4 linked regions of the Cricetulus griseus genome follow. The protein of the gene in region 3 interacts with the protein of the main gene of each other region in a biochemical or structural test. Links are inferred from orthologs where the notes say so. Each region holds a gene or a part of one and is shown on either strand. Other genes may lie near its edges. The genes, in order: Irak4, Peli1, Irak1 and Irf7.

Region 1 (4,395 bases), on a different chromosome or scaffold from region 3:
CTTTACCCCACCATAATATTAAAGAACAGGGTTGTAAAAATGTGGCTACTGGCTAGAAAATAGGATTCTCCTGAGGGACCTGTGATAGTGAAAGGACCTCGAGTTCCCAGAATGCGTGTCCAGGATAACATTTTGGTATCTGTAGCCGTAGGTTTATGCAGGAAGTACTAGGTAGAGTTCCATCAACATCCATGTCCAGACCAGCGTTAGCACAAAAAGAAAGCCTTGTTTAGCGTGTTCGAGTCCCTGGGCTCAGTCCATAGTCCTTTTAATTTTTTTTTTTTTTTTTTTAAGATTTATTTACTTATGTATATAGCTTTCTGCCTGCACATATGCCTGCTGGCCAGAAGAGGGCACCAGGTCTTACTATAAATGGTGTGAGCCACCTTGTGGTTGCTGAGAATTGAACTCAGGACCTTTGGAAGAGCAGTCAATGCTATTAACCTCTGAGCCATCATCTCTCCTGCCCTCCTTTTTAATTCCTAATTGATGTCTTCAGTGTTTTGCTAATGGATCCTTTTATCTTCCTAGGTTTTATTAGAACTAATCACTGGGCTTGCAGCTGTGGATGAAAACCGTGAGCCTCAATTACTAGTAAGTAATTCATTTTTGTCAGTCTTTTCCGCTTTTGCCTTTGTGATCTTAAATTCATGTGTGTAAATATGGCTTATAGAAATGGCATTTCTGACATAAGTCTGGCTATGTGTCATGACGTAGTAAAAGTGCATGATGTGTTTACAGTCTTGGGCTTGCTAGATGTGATGTGTGCCTGAAAAGATTATTTATATATTCCTTGTTCCAATGTCTTTGTATCAAATGAGAAGAAAGCTAGTTTGCCCGTGGTTTGTTACTCTCCAGAGTGTACAGATCCTGGGTGGTGGGACCATTTTTAGGTCATAGGGAAGAAAAATCTTAGTTTTCATTCACATCCCGTAAGAATATAAATGCCAGTAAAGGCTCTCTATTTCATCGTGGAGCATTTTACTTACAAAGTTAAAGCACTTCCCTCCTGTACTGTCATTCCTACCCTTCTAATTTTTATATTGAACATTTGATTCACAGTTTATAAGTAGATGAGTTAAATGATAACTGAACTTTTGATAAATTATGCCATATACTTTAATATATGTATACATATGTCTTTACATATACCTTTATGTATATATGCATAAAATATATATGTGATACTCATCCACATAAAAACATATATGTGTGTCTTTGTATATATGTCTCTAAAAATATATATACATATATATGTCTTTCGTAAGTGTTTCTCAAAATTAGCAACTATACTCCCTTTATCCAAATTTATTCATATGCCCTAATAGAGCAAAACAGTACGAACATTCAGATAATAGATACATACTAGGTCACATCCCAGAGTTAGGAACAGAGAATCAGAAGGTGTAACTTGCTTGTTCAGTCATGATACCAGGACTGGAGAAATGGTTGGGGCAGCAGTCAAGAGCTCATACTGCTTTTCTAAAGGCCCAAGTTTAGTTTCCAGCACCCATGTTAGGTGTCTTTTTTGTTTGTTTTGAGACAGGGTTTCTCTGTGGCTTTGGAGGCTGTCCTGGAACTAGCTCTTGTAGACCAGGCTGGTCTCAAATTCACAGAGACCCGCCTGCCTCTGTCTCCCAAGCCCTGGGATTAAAGGTATGCGCCACCACCACCTGGCCCATGTTAGGTGTCTTACCGCCTGTAACCCCAGCTCCAGATCTGAGGCCTCTGATCTCCACAGACACTTGCATAGTTGTACACATACCAACATACACACACGCACACGCACACGCACACAGAGAGAGAGATAATTAAAATAGGACTTCAGAAGGACAACAAAAATCTTAGTGCCAATACTAATTTGAGTAATCTGTAGTATGTGAGATTGTTACAAATGTCCGCCACAAAACAAAAATGTCCATGGTCTGTTGGAAATGCAGTTATTAAAATAGCATATGTACTATATTTACATTGGAAGATATTTGTGAGAATATCCTAATGGTATTCAGATTTTTATAATGGCAAATCAAAAGGTAAAATTTTATGTTAACCAGAAATATAAAGTTCTCTGTCCTAGCAGTTATGGGAGGTCAAGAGAGAAGCCTGAGATGGAGTTGCCGTATTTGAGCTGTTGGTAAATGGACACAGACAAAGTTTAGGGTGGGGTTGGATTAGAAACATAGACATTAGAAATTCGGAGGCCAGGGAGATATTGAGCATGTAAAGTGCTGCCAGTGACACACTTCCTCCAGCAAGGCCACAGCTCCCAAGCCGACCCAAACAGCACCACCAATAGAAAACCAAAGGAGCCCATGGTGAACATTCCATCCAGACCACTGCACCCAAGACAACCTCTCACTTCAGATATCTTCAAAAATCATTTTTCCACATGAGGTCACATTTACAGACACCAGGAGCCAGGACGTAGACATACATACTCACATTTCTGGGGCCACCACTCAACAGACCGTTGAGCCCGAGGCACCATCTCATCCTCATTCATCCCCCAGTCCTCCTTTCTCTTTGATTTACCAGCCTGAGTTCCTGTGGGTAAGGACATGGTGTCTGGGTCCAGAAGGTGAAATTGCATTTTCAAAAATGATCACGAAGCTGATGACTCTGAACTGGCGAATGCTGCAACAGAAATTCGAGCAGCTAGCTCATCACAGAAAGACAAGGATTATAAAGCATATGGGTAGGAGTAAATGGGAATAAGAGTAGTAAATCAGTAATGTGTGCATGTGTGTAATTTCCTTATCTACCATTTGTCCGGTGTGGCCTCAAGTCCTAAGGAGGTTATAAAAAATGGTAAGGAAAGAGTTCAGGTCATTTCAAAAATAGACGAATTTAAGTAATTTAAATTTATACTCTGATTTCTTTCGTATTGAAGCTTTTAACCAAGGTCTAATGCCCATTTTATAGCTGGATATTAAAGACGAGATTGAAGATGAAGAGAAGACGATTGAAGATTACACCGATGAGAAGATGAATGATACTGACCCTGCTTCTGTTGAAGCGATGTATGCTGCAGCTAGTCAGTGTCTGCATGAAAAGAAAAATAAGAGGCCAGACATTACGAAGGTACTACTTTTATATCCATACACACACCTGGAGGGGTCGTTACCCTTTACTAAGTATACATTTCAAGGCATCGGTGTAATGTTCTTTTGTTCTTTCTTTTTGAAAGGTTCAACAGCTGCTACAAGAGATATCTGCTTAAAACTAATGAAATAGACTTCATATATATATGTATATATGTATGTATGTATGTATATGTACATACAGGGACACACACAGCGCTATAAGCACTTCCCTCCTCACATACCCCCCTTTTATTTTTACTTCTTGTGATCATGGAGACTGAACAAGCACTTCGTCACTGAGCTACATCATCAGCCTGTTTTTTGCTTGGTTTGGTTTCTTAAATTTCTTTATCTTTAACAAGGCAGCGTGGCACAGTGTATACTGGCGAATTAATGGATGTGTCCACACACTGCAAAAGTGAGAGTAGTGTGGCACCACTTGGCCCACCTACTTTGTATGGAGCTCGTTTCCATGGCAACATCACCAAACTACAGCAACTACAAGATTCAGGAAAACAGCACTCCACTGTAGAGTTTTAGGGGTTTGTTGTTGTTGTTGGTTTCTGTGTAGCCCTAGACGTCCTGGAACTCTCTTTCTCTGGAGACTAGGCTGGCCTTCAACTCTGCCTCTGCCTCTGCCTCCCAGAGGACTAGAATTAAAGCCCCGTGCCACCACCATCCAGCCAGAGACTCTGGTTTGAACTCAGCAGGTTCCACTAATCTCCTGTAAAGCTCTGGTCCAGCTCTTAGCTACCCTAAGCCCTCAGTTTTTGGCTTTTTTGTTGTTGTTGTTAATGAACTCTGTGGTCCTATAAATAACTCTTCCTAAACTTCTGTAAGTATTCCCCAACACTGTTCCTGTAATCCTAATTAAACTCATTGGGTCATCAAGGTAGACAGGGGTGGACTTAATTGTTCAGTCTGTCATTGGTGTCCTAATTTGAATGAATAGATGTTCACTTGTCTCTCCTAAGAAAAATTCACACTGTTGGTACTTTTATGTGGGGCAATGTAGAACCAATGATGAGCTTAGAGGTGTTACTTGTATTGCTGTGGGCAATATGACAGCAACTGGAGCTAAGCTATCTGAGGGTAGAGCACCCAAGGGGGGCCATCCTGATGTCATCCTTTCCCATGTGACAGTAATGGCAGGCTCTCTTGCTCTACTGGGTGGTTTTGTGTGTCAACTTGACACAAGCTAGTGTCATCAGAGAGGAAGGATCCTCAGTTGAGGAAATGCCTCCATGAGATCCAGCTGTAAGGCATTTTCTCATTTAGTGATCAATGGGGAAGGCCTCAGCCCATGGTGGAT
Region 2 (3,077 bases), on a different chromosome or scaffold from region 3:
CTTGGGTTCACTTCTGTCTCCTCTGGAAAAGTAAAAACCATGCACCGAGGCACAAAGTTGTGTTTCCAGCTACTTGGTTAAACTGAGGCAGAAGGAGGTAGAATTCTAGGCCATCTTGGACTATATAGCTAGACATCCCCCCCCAAAGGAATCCTGTTTGTAGAGAGTTGATATTTTCTATGTGCCATCATTAATATGTTATAGAACCTATGATTTCTAAACGTTTCCACTAAAACCAGTGACACATGTCACTTTTGTCGTCTGTTTCATTTCTTTTTTCCCCCTTCAACTTTCAAGATGCAAGAAACTTTCTTACTAGCTAGTACTTTAAAGATAGTTTACCCTGATACCTGCCTCACCAAGGACTCCAGCTAGAAACCTTACTGCTCAGAAATGAAAAAAAAATACCAAGGTGTATGACAAATCCTACAGCCTACATAGAGAATTCTTTTTCTGTGCTTCCTTGGGGACCCTGGAACAAAGTACCTTTGAAGTACTGTTCTTTGAAGTTTAGTTATTTGATGTCTCAATCCTTATCAGAGTAAGTGGTTGGAGGAGAGGCTTGTTGCTAAAAACAAGCACAACCAAAAGCAAAAACTGACAGCTGCTAATAACCTAATGCAAAGAGGTGGAGATCTGTTTCAGAGACTCAGAGCAAGGCTGTATCTACAGCCATCAGTGAGGATCAGTGTTTGTGTACAGCTTGGGAACACAGCAGCAGGTTAGCTTTATTTCAATGATGTTCTAGAGTTGTCATAAAAGATTTACTCACCTTCAGTGTATTCTGTTAAGGTGGGGTAGTATATGGTAGATATATTTCTACCTTAAAAGGGTTAAAGCCTAAGGCCATCTAAGAACCTCATCACATTAGAGTCTTTATTCCCTAAGGATCTTGGAAATTCCATTGTAGTTCCCACTTAATTCTATGCTCCAAGTGACTGCTGTATCAGTGTGACAGATTAGGTTTCAAAGGTGTAGATGGAGATAGTTAAGTATTGTTAAGTGTGAGATTTAGAAATTTCAGAGGCCTAATACTTTTACCGTATCTCTTTCTTAATGGATTCTACTGTGGTCTTTGAATGAAGTCATATGTTCTTTTTTTCCCCTTTAGATTGGTCGGTCAACTGAAAGTCCTATTGATTTTGTAGTAACTGACACAGTTCCTGGAAGTCAGAGTAATTCTGACACACAGTCAGTACAAAGCACTATCTCAAGATTTGCCTGTAGGATCATATGTGAGCGCAATCCCCCCTTTACAGCTCGGATTTATGCTGCAGGATTTGATTCATCAAAAAACATCTTTCTTGGGGTAAAAAGCCTTTTTTCCTAATGTATTCTTTTATACAATTTCTATTTCCAAATTGCACATAAGTAGAAACTCACTATTTTTATAGGAAAAAGCTGCCAAATGGAAGACATCTGATGGGCAGATGGATGGCTTGACCACTAATGGTGTTCTTGTGATGCATCCACGAAATGGGTTCACAGAAGACTCCAAGCCTGGAATATGGAGAGAAATATCAGTTTGTGGGAATGTGTTCAGTCTTCGAGAAACCAGATCAGCTCAACAGAGAGGAAAGATGGTAAGTACTGTGTAGCTTCTTTTTACAACAATAAACATAGGGTAAGTTGAACTGGAGAGAGAGAGAGAGAGAAGTAGAGAGAGAGAGAGAGAGAGAGAGAGAGAGAGAGAGAGAGAGAGAGAGAGATTGTCAGTTGATTGGTTTTTGCAGCTCTTAGACATATTCCTGACACACAAAAACTAAGACCATCAAACACTGACCTCCAAACACTAATTCTAGAGGATGGTGTTTGTTTCAGCTAGAAAAGGTTAAGCATCTATTTTTTTGTACATATCTTTGACTATACTTAACTAATTAAAAATAACTAAGTTTGTTGATTAGCCAGATAATTAAATCATAAGTTGTCTTTTGGCTTGAAAGACAGAAGTTGCTATTCAATGTGTTATTGTTGATTTTCAAATTTAGCATTTTTCAAACTTCTAAAATTTCTACTTCCACATTACACACAAATAGAAACTTCCTTAAGTCTAGCAGGTAATCCTGGAAGGTTCTCTGTCTTATTAGGACTCACTGAAGACCTAGTGTAAACACAATGGTAAATACGGTTTTGATTCTTTTCTCCTTCAGGTGGAAATCGAAACCAATCAGCTACAAGATGGCTCCTTAATTGACCTTTGTGGTGCAACCTTGCTTTGGCGTACTGCGGAAGGCCTTTCCCACACTCCTACTGTGAAGCACTTAGAAGCTTTAAGACAGGAAATCAATGCAGCCCGACCTCAGTGCCCTGTAGGGTTCAACACACTAGCCTTTCCCAGTATGAAGAGGAAAGACGTTGTAGATGAAAAACAACCGTGGGTATATCTAAACTGCGGCCATGTTCATGGTTATCATAACTGGGGAAACAAAGAAGAACGTGACGGAAAAGATCGTGAATGTCCTATGTGTAGGTCTGTTGGTCCCTATGTCCCTCTGTGGCTTGGATGTGAAGCTGGATTTTATGTGGACGCCGGCCCTCCCACCCATGCCTTTAGCCCTTGTGGGCACGTGTGTTCAGAAAAGACAACGGCCTATTGGTCACAGATCCCACTTCCTCATGGTACTCACACTTTTCACGCAGCCTGTCCCTTTTGTGCACATCAGTTGGCTGGTGAACAAGGCTATATCAGACTTATTTTCCAAGGACCTCTAGACTAACAGCTGTCTCTAGGACTGCATTATAAGTTTATAAGCTAAGTGAGTTGGGTATTCCAACCAGTTGTCCACGTAAGTTTCTCTGCTCTGGTCATTGCATTAAGATGAAGAATTTTTTAAATATTTATAATAGCAATTTCTGAAAAAAATCTGAGAAAATCAAGCAAAGGAAATTTTGAAAGTTCCAGACTTCTGAATTCTGAGTTTTGAAAATATATTTTGAGGAGAAAAAGACATAGTCTAATTTGATGCCTTCGTTTTAGTGTTTTGAATCACCACCCATACTCAGTGTTGAGTTGTTCTGTATAACTGAGGGTTTGTTGGTTCAAACTACGTTAGTTTACAATTTGTTGCAAACATTGT
Region 3 (4,885 bases):
CTGATTTCTGTGGCCAGTAGCAGCTGAGACTTTCTGCATGACTTCTGTGAGCAGCTAACCTGCCTTCCTGACCAGGCTAGGGCATGCTGAGGAACTGCCCAAAATGATCCCTTGTGTCATTGGCTTCATGTAAGAATATGAACTTCTGTAGCTGCCCACTCATTATATCTGCCCTCCTTAGGCTGATCTGAGCTTGAGGAGAGGATAATGGTGTGTCACATGAAATCGTGGACACATCTACTAAAAGCTTCCTTGAAGTCCTGGCTTCAAATGTTAAACGAAAGGGTTGAAGATTCAACATGTAGACATGGAACATCTGCTATACCAGATACTGATAGTTCCTAGTACATTAAAAAGAACCAAATCCCTTCCCCTAGAGCTTAGTATATGCACACAATAATTTTGAATAGTGGAGTTAGTGCATCTCAATAATGACTGACCCATGAGAAACTACTGGAGACTCAGAATATGGTTGGCCTCTTGGGTTGTTTTGTTTCTTTGGTAAGGTCCAACTTCTAGTCCAGGCTGGAGTGGAACCGAGTGTATAGGATGATCTGCCTCAGCCTCCCAAGTGATGGAATTACAGGTGTGAGCCACCATGCCCAGCTTTGTTTTATTAATAACAAGGTCTCACTATGTAACTTTGGCTGGCCTGGAACTATTATGCATAGTAAACCAAACTGACCTTGAACTTTCAGTGATCTTCCTGCCTCTGCCTATGGAGGGCTGGGATTACAACCATGCACTACCACACCTAGTTTGACCTCATCTTAAGAGCGGCCAAAATGGCTGTGGTTTCAGAGAAGAGACCACTGTAGGAGCCAGCCATGTGCCTTGTGTAGACTTTTCTGGACACAAGTTTCTTACAGGACAGGCTAGTGAGAGGGAACCCTTTCCAGTTAGGATTGATAGACAAGAGGGTCTGTTGGAGAAACTGTAGTTAGAAGAAAGCTATTGCTTTATAAGTATGCTTTCAGCTGGAGAAACAAGAAAGGCCAACTTGCTACCCGTGGCTCTTCCTCAGGCAGTGGGAAGTTAGAAAAGTTCAGAGGTATGGAACTCCAGCAAGCTCAAGATGTGCCCAAGAGAAGAGTTAGATGGGTTTTGGGATGCTTCCCCCACAGCTTTTTTTTTTGGGGGGGTGAGGTTTCAAAACAGGGTTTCTCTGTGTAGCCTTGGCTGTTCTGGAACTCACAGAGATCCACCTGCCTATATCCCAAGTGCTGTGACTAAAGGCGTGTGTCACCACTGCCTGGCTCCCCACAGCTTTTTATGCTCAGTCTTGTCAAGAAGGGCTATAGCAGGGGTATATGCAAATAACTTCAGAGACAGAATTAGAAGTGCTTTTTAGGGTATCTAAAAAGGGTTTTTTTGGGGGGTGGTCTTGGTCTTTTTGAGGCAGGGTTTCACTTTGTATCCCTGGCTAACCTGGAACTCACTATTTAGACCAAGCTAACCTCAAATTCAGAGATCCACCACCTGCCTTTGTTTTCCAATTGCTGGGATTAAAGGTATGCACCACCAAGCCCAACATCATGGAGTTGTTAATGGCTTAAGGCTATTATTGTATATAAATTCAGGTGGGTGGGCAGAAGCTGGCCATGCCATCTGCCAAACAGCCATATAGAGCTGGGACTCTATGGGAGGGCTTTGGGAATTTTGGGAAGGTCTTCTGTAAGAAACTGATTTGGTGATCTGTGCCCAAGGAAGCCCACATGAACAGTGAGCCCTATCAGAGTCATCAAGTTCATGCAGGTAAGTGGTATTGGGTAATGCTATGAGTAGTGGACTCATGGGAAGAGGACTTCAGGGTGTCACTGACAACTGCTCTAGAAAAGAATAGGGAAAGCTGCTGGACTCTGGTGTCCTCATAAGAAGTGCAAACTAAGCCAAAAGTGACAGAAAAGGGAAAGGGATGGCAAGAACTGGACATTATGCACACGGGGACAGAGCAAGGCCCTTTTAAGAGACATGTGTTGGCTGGCAAGCTAGCGAGGAGCCTGCACGGGCAGATACTGTGAAGCTCTTAACATTTGTTGCCCAGCTGCTTGCTGGCGGGTTCCTGGAGGCAGGGTGGGGTGGGAGGGTAGGCGGTGGCGTGGTGTGCAATCTTCCAGACCATTCTCTGGGCATCCGTCCTTACTACCAGATGATTAGAGTCAGCCGTTTTGTGACCCACATTTGACCCTGTCCTACCAACATCTCAGCCGACTCTGCACTGCCTTCCAAATAAAGCTGAAAGGAGCCTCTCGGTGAGTTTTCACCAGGCTTTACATAAATCGCCTTTGTGGATCATCATGTTTTTCCTTTGCCCTTTGTCTCCAGAACTGGAAATCGTTCTTCATCCTGTTCAGTCCTATTCAGACGGCTCCCACTGCTGGAAGCCCACCCTCCGTGTAGGATCACAATCCTTGGTTCTTCGGCGTGAGGGGGGAGACACCCTGCAGCCTAGTAGAGCGCCTTTCCTAGATTGAGGGTGGCGCAGGACGCCCCCGTGTGGCCGAAGGCCGCGGAAGGCAAGATGGCGGCGGTCCTGAGCACCGCCTCTTCCGCCCTGCTGGGCGTCGCACGAGGCCGGCTAGAAGGGAAGTGAGTCAGTGTCCACGGACCCGGCCGGCTCAGGCCCCGCCCCGCCGAGGCCCCGTGAGGCCCCGGCCCGGCGGCGGCGGCGGCGGCGGCAGCGGCGGCCATGGCCGGGGGCCGGGCCCCGGGGAACCTTCGGTTCCTGGCGCCCAGCACTTCTTGTACGAGGTGCCACCCTGGGTTATGTGCCGCTTCTACAAAGTGATGGACGCCCTGGAGCCCGCCGACTGGTGCCAGTTCGGTGGGTGACGGCAGGCCGGCGTGGGGCAGGGGACCCGGGCTTCTGCTGCTAAAGCTTGACGTTCCCCGCCCCACAGCGGCCTTGATTGTACGCGACCAGACAGAACTGAGGCTGTGTGAGCGCGCCGAGCAGCGCACAGCCAGCGTCCTGTGGCCCTGGATCAACCGCAACGCGCGCGTGGCTGACCTCGTTCACATCCTCACGCACCTACAGCTGCTGCGTGCACGGGACATCATCACAGCCTGTGAGCGAGCGTGGCCCCAGGGACCCTAGGGATGGGAATTCACTGGAGGTGACGGGAACAGTCTCTCGAGATGGGACCATATGGGAACCCCTCCCTACACACACACACACACACACACACCCATATGGGAACATGGGAACCCCTCCCTACACACACACACACACACAGACACACACACACACACCCATATGGGAACCCCTCCCTACACACACACACACACACACACACACACACAAACCCATATGGGAACATGGGAACCCCTCCCTACACACACACACACACACACACACACACACACACACACACACACACACAGGAACATGGGAACCCCTCCCTACACACACACACACACACACACACACACACACACACACACACACGGGAACCCCTCCCTACACACACACACACACACACACACACACACACACAAAGAGAGAGTCAGAGACAGACCTGAGTCACAACCCTCCTTTCCTTCCTTGTTATCACAGGGCACCCTCCTGCCCCTGTTCTGCCCCCAAGCACTGCTGCTCCACGACCCAGCAGCATCTCTGCAGGCTCCCAGGCCGAGGTCTGGAGCCCAGAGAAACTGCAGTCCTCTGCCTCCACCTTCCTCTCCCCAGGTAAAAAGAAAATGGGTGTTGGGTTTGATAGGCCTGAGGAAAAGGCCACCATGACTATTGACATGGCTGTAGACTGCTGCTGGTCTCTGCCTCTCACTAGCATCTTTATGAAGCTTTTCCAGGCTCCCAGACCTATTCTGAGGCAGAGCTCCTTCCAGTTCCAATCCTGGCTTCCCTCAGGCCACCACTGCGATCTTCAGCCCCTTCCTTTGACAAGGTAAGTGTTCTTTAACCCCCAGGGAAAATTCCAGACAAGGAGGAAGAAACTCAGCCTTTGGTGAACCCACAACAGCAAGCCAGGGACTTTGCAGCCAGGATCAAAGGGAATAGGCAGGATCCTCACCTGATCCTTGGTCTCTTCCAACAGCCAAGCCCAGGGAGCCCAGAGTCTGGCCTCCAAAGGACACATACCTCCCCATTTTGCTGGCCCCTCTGTGAGATTTCCCAAGGCACCTGCAACTTCTCTGAAGAGCTGAGGATTGGAGAGGGTGGTTTTGGGTGTGTGTACCGGGCAGTAATGAGAAATACCACATATGCTGTGAAGAGACTGAAGGAGGTAGGTATAACAGTAGGGTAGTCACCTGGAAGACACAAAAGGGAAAGGAATGGCAAAAATGACATTATGCACATGGGGACAGAACAAGGCCCTATTAAGAGACATAAATGTGGAGGCAGGGGACTGTACTCAGTTCGTATTTGTCCAGTTCCTCCCTCCATCAGCCCTCACTTCTTTAGTCCCCTGCCTCCAGCCTCCCCAAGCAATTCCTTCAGTCCTCTGATTCCAGTACAGGGACCCCCAAACCTTCCATTGTTATGGGCCTGGAAACAGCTGGCAAGCTTGGCTCATGCTGCCTACTTTCCCCGCCTCTTACCCCACCATGTCTGGGGCTGCAGGAGGCTGACCTAGAGTGGACTGTGGTGAAACAGAGCTTCCTAACAGAGGTGGAGCAGCTGTCAAGGTGAGCCTTGGGGGTCCTCCTGTCTGGGGGCACAAGGAGAGAACCACACAAGGGCCTCATCAGTCTCTAGAACTGCACAGCACAAGACCTGGCTCCCTTGGGCCCTCAAGGCCTTGCCAGACCCAGGTGAGGGAACATCAAAGGCTGTTTATCCAGCCTAGCCTGATGAAAAGTAGTGGGGCCCAGAGAACTAAAGAACATGGACTGTGCCCAACGGTGGCACACGCCATTAATGCTA
Region 4 (5,027 bases), on a different chromosome or scaffold from region 3:
AGGGTGGTCTCTGGGACCTTCCTGAGGGTCACAACCTGGTTCAAAAGTCTGGCACATGCATTTAAAGTCAGCATTCGGGTAGCAGAGGCAGGGGGATCTCTGTGAACTTGAGGCCAGCCGGGTCTACAAGAGTGAGTTCCAGGGCAGTCAAGGCTTTGTAGAGAAAACCTTTCTCAAAAAAACAAAACGAACCCAAACCAATAAAAAGGCTGTTCAGGCAATGAACAATGCACTCTGCCCGACACAGAAACTTCGCCTATGAGAAACAGGGGCCTGCAGGTCATGTCAGTAGACGGAGGTTACACACGGCTCTCTGGGGCTGTTTGGGGGGGGGGGTAACATCATAATCTGGGTTCTTCCAGCAGAGCAGTCATGACATATTTCCTAATGAAAAATCAACCCGAATATCTTTCCAGAAGTTTCTATTTCTTAACAGTATTTGAATATTTAAAAAAAATGACAGCTTTATCCGTTTATACAATGTATTTTTTGGTTTCATTTAAACTGGTGGTTTTCATGGCCCATTTCCTTCTCTCAGCGCCCCCCCCCTGCCGCCCCGTTGGAAACCTTCTCAACAAGTCTCCCCCTACTCTCATCTTTTCTGAGCAGCCCTCTGAGTTTAATTACTTTCTCCATCCAGCTAGAACAAGGACAAATTACCACCGGATAAACGACACCCCCTACCTTAAAGGTTGCCACTAGTGGGGGAGGGGCCTGGGCCCATCCCATATCCATGATGAACTGTTAATGAGACCAATCTTATGGAGGTCCTGTGTGGATAGCTGCAGTGAGCTCATGACAGCAATGGCTATGTCATGCTCAGAAGACATCTCCTTTTGCACATCTCTCCATCCTCTGGCCCTTTCTACCCTCTTTTGGGAGATGCCTTGGAGGGGGTGGTAGAGATGTCTCCTTCGGGATGAACACTCCACCATCACTTATTCTCTGCTCTTGGGCCAGTTACAGGATTCTGCTCATTGCAATTAGAAGCTTCTGTAATGAAGGCTGGATGCAACACTAATCTGTAGTTATATTTTACATTTTGAGACAGGATCTTACTCTTTAACCCAGAAGGATTGGTCCTGAGATGGTATTACAAGTATCGGCTTTGGAATATTCTTCTTTTGTGTGTGTGTGTGTGTGTGTGTGTGTGTGTGTGTGTGTGTGTGTGTGTGTGTTTGGTTTTTTGAGACAGGGTATCACTGTGTAGCTTTGTAGAACAAGCTGTTCTCGAACTCAGAGATTCCGCCTGCCTCTGCCTATCAAGTGCTGGAATTAAAGGCGTGCGCCACCACCCGCTGAAATATTCTTACTTGTATCATTCTCAATGTGAAGCCGCTCTTTAGACTACACTTCCCAATACTTTACTGAGAGTTAAACAAAACAAAAGCTGCTGACTTTGTTTGAGATACCCCGCCTTCTCCTGCCGTGTTTTCCTGAGGAGGTTTAGAGGGAAAGACTTTTCCCACTCTCCCACCTGGGCAGCCAGGCGGGTAGACTAGGCTGCCACTCCTCCCACTGAACCTCCGAGGCTTGGCGGTGCTGTCCAAAGCAGGGTCAGCCTTTCTCACTGAATCTATGAAGGACTTGGGCGACTGTGATTCTGAGAGTGGAGTGCCCCCGGCACGTGATACCCCAATGGCGTCAGGAGCCCTTAGGCCACACCCAGCTGCACTCCGCCCCGCCCCTGACCCGGGTCCTATAAAAGTACTGGCCGCGTCCTTCTCACTGAGATAAAACCGTCCCGGCGGCTCCGGCACCAGGTATGCGGGACCCTTAGCCCACGCAGGGAGGGAGCGAGCTTGTGCCACAGGAGGGGGCATTCTTGTCCTCTCCACGGAGTAGGGAACGATCGAGGAAGGGAAGTGTAGAGGATCAGGGACACAGGAGGGCAGAGGGCCCGGCGGGATCTGCCATCAGAAGATCTGCAGGTGGGGTTGGGATCTGTATAAGGATAGGGTGGAGGTCGAGGACTGCGGCACCCGTAGCCATTGAGACACAGGGAAGCCCGCGGCTGCCCGAGAGCTGTTCGGGCTATTTAGGTTTCATTTTCCCGGGATGCAGTTTCGCTTTACTCGCTTGGGCCCGCCCCTTTTTCCATCCTGTCTTTGCAGGGTCCAGCCTGCGACAGCTGATCCAGGCTTGGACGCTGGATCAACACCTGTGACTTCACGTGTGCGTTCCCGCTACATCTGTAGTCACATCTATAGCCACCCTGGCAAGAGGAATCCACACTTAGGTTTGGAACCTAGGTGGCTACAAGTTCTCAAACCTCATCTGTGACCCTCAGTACCCTACACCTGGGTCACATTTGTGACACTTAAATTTCCACCTGAGACCAACAAACATAATCACATTTGTGACACTGGGCCACACTATCTGTGGCTACACCCTGAAACTTTAGTGACACCCAAGGGACTCTTACCTCCTGATTGCTCCAGTGACAACAACACATCACAGAGTAGGACCTACTCTTGATTCTTCCAAGGGAGCAATGGCCACAGAGAGGTGAGAACATGCCCACCCAGGTTGTGTCAGTTCCTGTATGCCTTGCCCTTGGTCCTGGTCATAGCGTTGCTGCCCTGCTTGCAGGGGGCCCCAGCGCATGCTCTTCGGAGAGTGGCTACTGGGTGAGGTCAGTAGCGGCCAGTATGAGGGCCTTCGGTGGCTGGACGACGCTCACACAGTCTTCCGTGTGCCCTGGAAGCATTTTGGTCGCAGGGATCTGGATGAAGCTGATGCACGTATCTTCAAGGTGGTATCCAATCCAGCCCGCTATACAAATCTGCCGCAACTCCCAGGGAATCCATCCTCAATCCATGTTCTCTGTCCTCTCCTTCAGGCCTGGGCTGTGGCCAGAGGAAGGTGGCCACCTAGTGGAGGTAACCTGCCACCCCCAGAAGCTGAGGCTGCTGAGCGAGCAGGCTGGAAAACCAACTTCCGCTGTGCACTCCACAGCACAGGGCGCTTTATCTTGCATCAAGACAATTCAGGGGACCCTGTTGACCCCCACAAGGTGTATAGACTTAACCCGGAGCTTGGATGCACTGGTAAGGGGTGCCATAAATAGGAATGGGTCAAGGAGGTACATGGACTGTTGTCTTGGTGGCTTCCTGGCTGGATTTGTGGTTTTTAAAACTGGTTGGGTAAAGGTTTGATTGTACTCCCAGTTGCTCTCTTTCTAAGGTGTATGGGGTTGGGGTGCAGCACGTTTCCTCCCGAATCAGAGCCTTGGGCTGAGTAAGCTCAGCCCAAGGGTACAGGGAAGAGAACTTTTGGAACTACTCAAGCATCATAACTAGGTTGCAGGTCAGTCTCAGATCCAAATTCCCCCTCTCCTTCAGAAGGCCCCGCCATGGAAAATAGGGAAGAAGAGACCCTCAGCAATGCCTTACCTACACAGGTACAGTCTAATTGGCTCTTCCTAAGTGGGAGGGATGAACAGCTGCCTACCTACCACTATGCTTTTCCTTACAGGGTGTGTCCTTGGGACCATTCTCTGCAAGAGGAAATGCTGGGCTCCAAACCCCAAGCCCTCTGCTTTCTGGTGATGCTGGGGACCTCTTGCTTCAGGTTCTGCAGTACAGCCTCCTGGATAACCACCTACTGGGATCTGACTCAGTCCCATCACAGGATCCTGGTGAGTGTCGGCAAGAACGGTTACTGAGCTGGGGCTAAACTAGAGAACCCCCACCTGCCCCAGGCTGTATGAGAGTCCTTGGGGACAGGAGGAAAGATAAGGATGCCAGCATGACAGGAGTGGGGAAGCTAGCACACCACGATGGGCAAGATGGACAGGCAGCTTCAATTTGTCCTCAGGCCAGGAGCAGGAACATGCTTCTGAGGATCCTCATGCAACATGGCAGGTGGAAGCTGTCCCCAGCCCGAGGCTTCAACACCCAGCTCTGATAAGCGGTAAGGACTTGTGAACCTGTTGGTGTGGGATAGAGCTGTGGTGCTAGCACAGGTCTTCCCCAGCACACATCTATTACCCTCCACCCCCCCCCCCGCCCCCCCCCCGCAGAGCACTGCATCACTCACTCACCCCTCATGTAACCTCCAGTGGGAGGTGAAAGGGTCCTAGGGGGTGGGACAAAGTGCCCCACCCATACCCACCACTCATAGCTTGGTCTGTACACAGAGCGCAATCTAGGGTACCTGGATGTGACCATCATGTACAAGGGCCGCACAGTGCTACAGGCAATGGTGGGGCACCCCAGGTGCGTGTTCCTGTACAGCCCCATGAGCTCAGCGATAAGAACCTCAGAGCCCCAGCCAGTGATTTTTCCCAGCCCTGCTGAGCTCCCGGATCAGAAGCAGCTGCATTACACAGAAACACTTCTACAGCATGTGTCTCCAGGCCTTCAGCTGGAGGTGCAGGGGCTGTCACTGTGGGCCCTGCGCATGGGCAAGTGCAAGGTGTACTGGGAGGTGGGCAGCCCCATGGGCTCCACCAGTTCCTCCACTCCAGCCCAGCTCTTGGAGCGCAACTGCCCTACCCCAATCTTCAACTTCAGCACTTTCTTCCAAGGTCAGTGAGGTGCCTGTTAGGGGTGCTGTCCTTGTGGGTCCCTGGGCCTTCTCTTAACTGCTCACCAGAGATACCTCCTAATAGAAGTGGAAGAGTTTCAGGCCCGGAGGCGACAAGGATCACCACACTACACCATCTACCTGGGTTTTGGGCAAGACTTGTCAGCAGGGAGGCCCAAGGAGAAGAGCCTGATCCTGGTCAAGGTAGAGTCTGGGTGGGCAAGTACAGGTGGGGGTGAGCTGCTGGGTGTGGCCCTAACATGTTCTTCCCACAGTTGGAGCCATGGCTATGCAAAGCATACCTGGAAAGAGTGCAGCGTGAGGGTGTGTCCTCCCTGGACAGCAGCAGTCTCGGCCTGTGCCTGTCTAGCACCAACAGTCTCTACGACGACATTGAGCACTTCCTCATGGAGCTGGGTCAGTGAGCCTAGCCCAGAACTGTAACTCACAATAAAGAGAGTCTACAAGCAGTGCTGTCCTGAGTCAGGTTTACTCCC

What was found.
Region 1: of the proteins of Irak1 (region 3) and Irak4, one has a biochemical effect on the other in vitro, tested with the Homo sapiens proteins (2 studies listed by BioGRID). The link is inferred for Cricetulus griseus from reciprocal best matches to the Homo sapiens genes IRAK1 and IRAK4.
Region 2: of the proteins of Irak1 (region 3) and Peli1, one has a biochemical effect on the other in vitro, tested with the Homo sapiens proteins (5 studies listed by BioGRID and IntAct, with this or other methods). The link is inferred for Cricetulus griseus from reciprocal best matches to the Homo sapiens genes IRAK1 and PELI1.
Region 4: the proteins of Irak1 (region 3) and Irf7 form a complex in vitro, tested with the Homo sapiens proteins (2 studies listed by BioGRID, with this or other methods). The link is inferred for Cricetulus griseus from reciprocal best matches to the Homo sapiens genes IRAK1 and IRF7.

What each region holds. Positions count from the first base shown.
Region 1 is NC_048595.1:391,050,710-391,055,104, forward strand, and holds the end of Irak4 (interleukin-1 receptor-associated kinase 4), read left to right. Parts: intron 1-531; coding exon 532-594; intron 595-2,922; coding exon 2,923-3,081; intron 3,082-3,187; coding exon 3,188-3,220; 3' UTR 3,221-4,032; downstream 4,033-4,395.
Region 2 is NW_023276807.1:85,381,691-85,384,767, reverse strand, and holds part of Peli1 (E3 ubiquitin-protein ligase pellino homolog 1), read left to right. Parts: intron 1-1,111; coding exon 1,112-1,309; intron 1,310-1,394; coding exon 1,395-1,583; intron 1,584-2,150; coding exon 2,151-2,717; 3' UTR 2,718-3,077. UniProt on the Homo sapiens protein: E3 ubiquitin ligase catalyzing the covalent attachment of ubiquitin moieties onto substrate proteins. Involved in the TLR and IL-1 signaling pathways via interaction with the complex containing IRAK kinases and TRAF6.
Region 3 is NC_048604.1:1,719,255-1,724,139, forward strand, and holds the start of Irak1 (interleukin-1 receptor-associated kinase 1), read left to right. Parts: upstream 1-1,715; coding exon 1,716-1,755; intron 1,756-2,325; coding exon 2,326-2,424; intron 2,425-2,485; coding exon 2,486-2,824; intron 2,825-2,900; coding exon 2,901-3,068; intron 3,069-3,556; coding exon 3,557-3,688; intron 3,689-3,801; coding exon 3,802-3,905; intron 3,906-4,055; coding exon 4,056-4,244; intron 4,245-4,582; coding exon 4,583-4,647; intron 4,648-4,885.
Region 4 is NC_048596.1:59,919,262-59,924,288, forward strand, and holds Irf7 (interferon regulatory factor 7), read left to right. Parts: upstream 1-1,647; 5' UTR 1,648-1,763; intron 1,764-2,114; 5' UTR 2,115-2,494; coding exon 2,495-2,508; intron 2,509-2,592; coding exon 2,593-2,755; intron 2,756-2,842; coding exon 2,843-3,050; intron 3,051-3,344; coding exon 3,345-3,403; intron 3,404-3,477; coding exon 3,478-3,640; intron 3,641-3,819; coding exon 3,820-3,915; intron 3,916-4,141; coding exon 4,142-4,531; intron 4,532-4,615; coding exon 4,616-4,734; intron 4,735-4,805; coding exon 4,806-4,955; 3' UTR 4,956-5,001; downstream 5,002-5,027.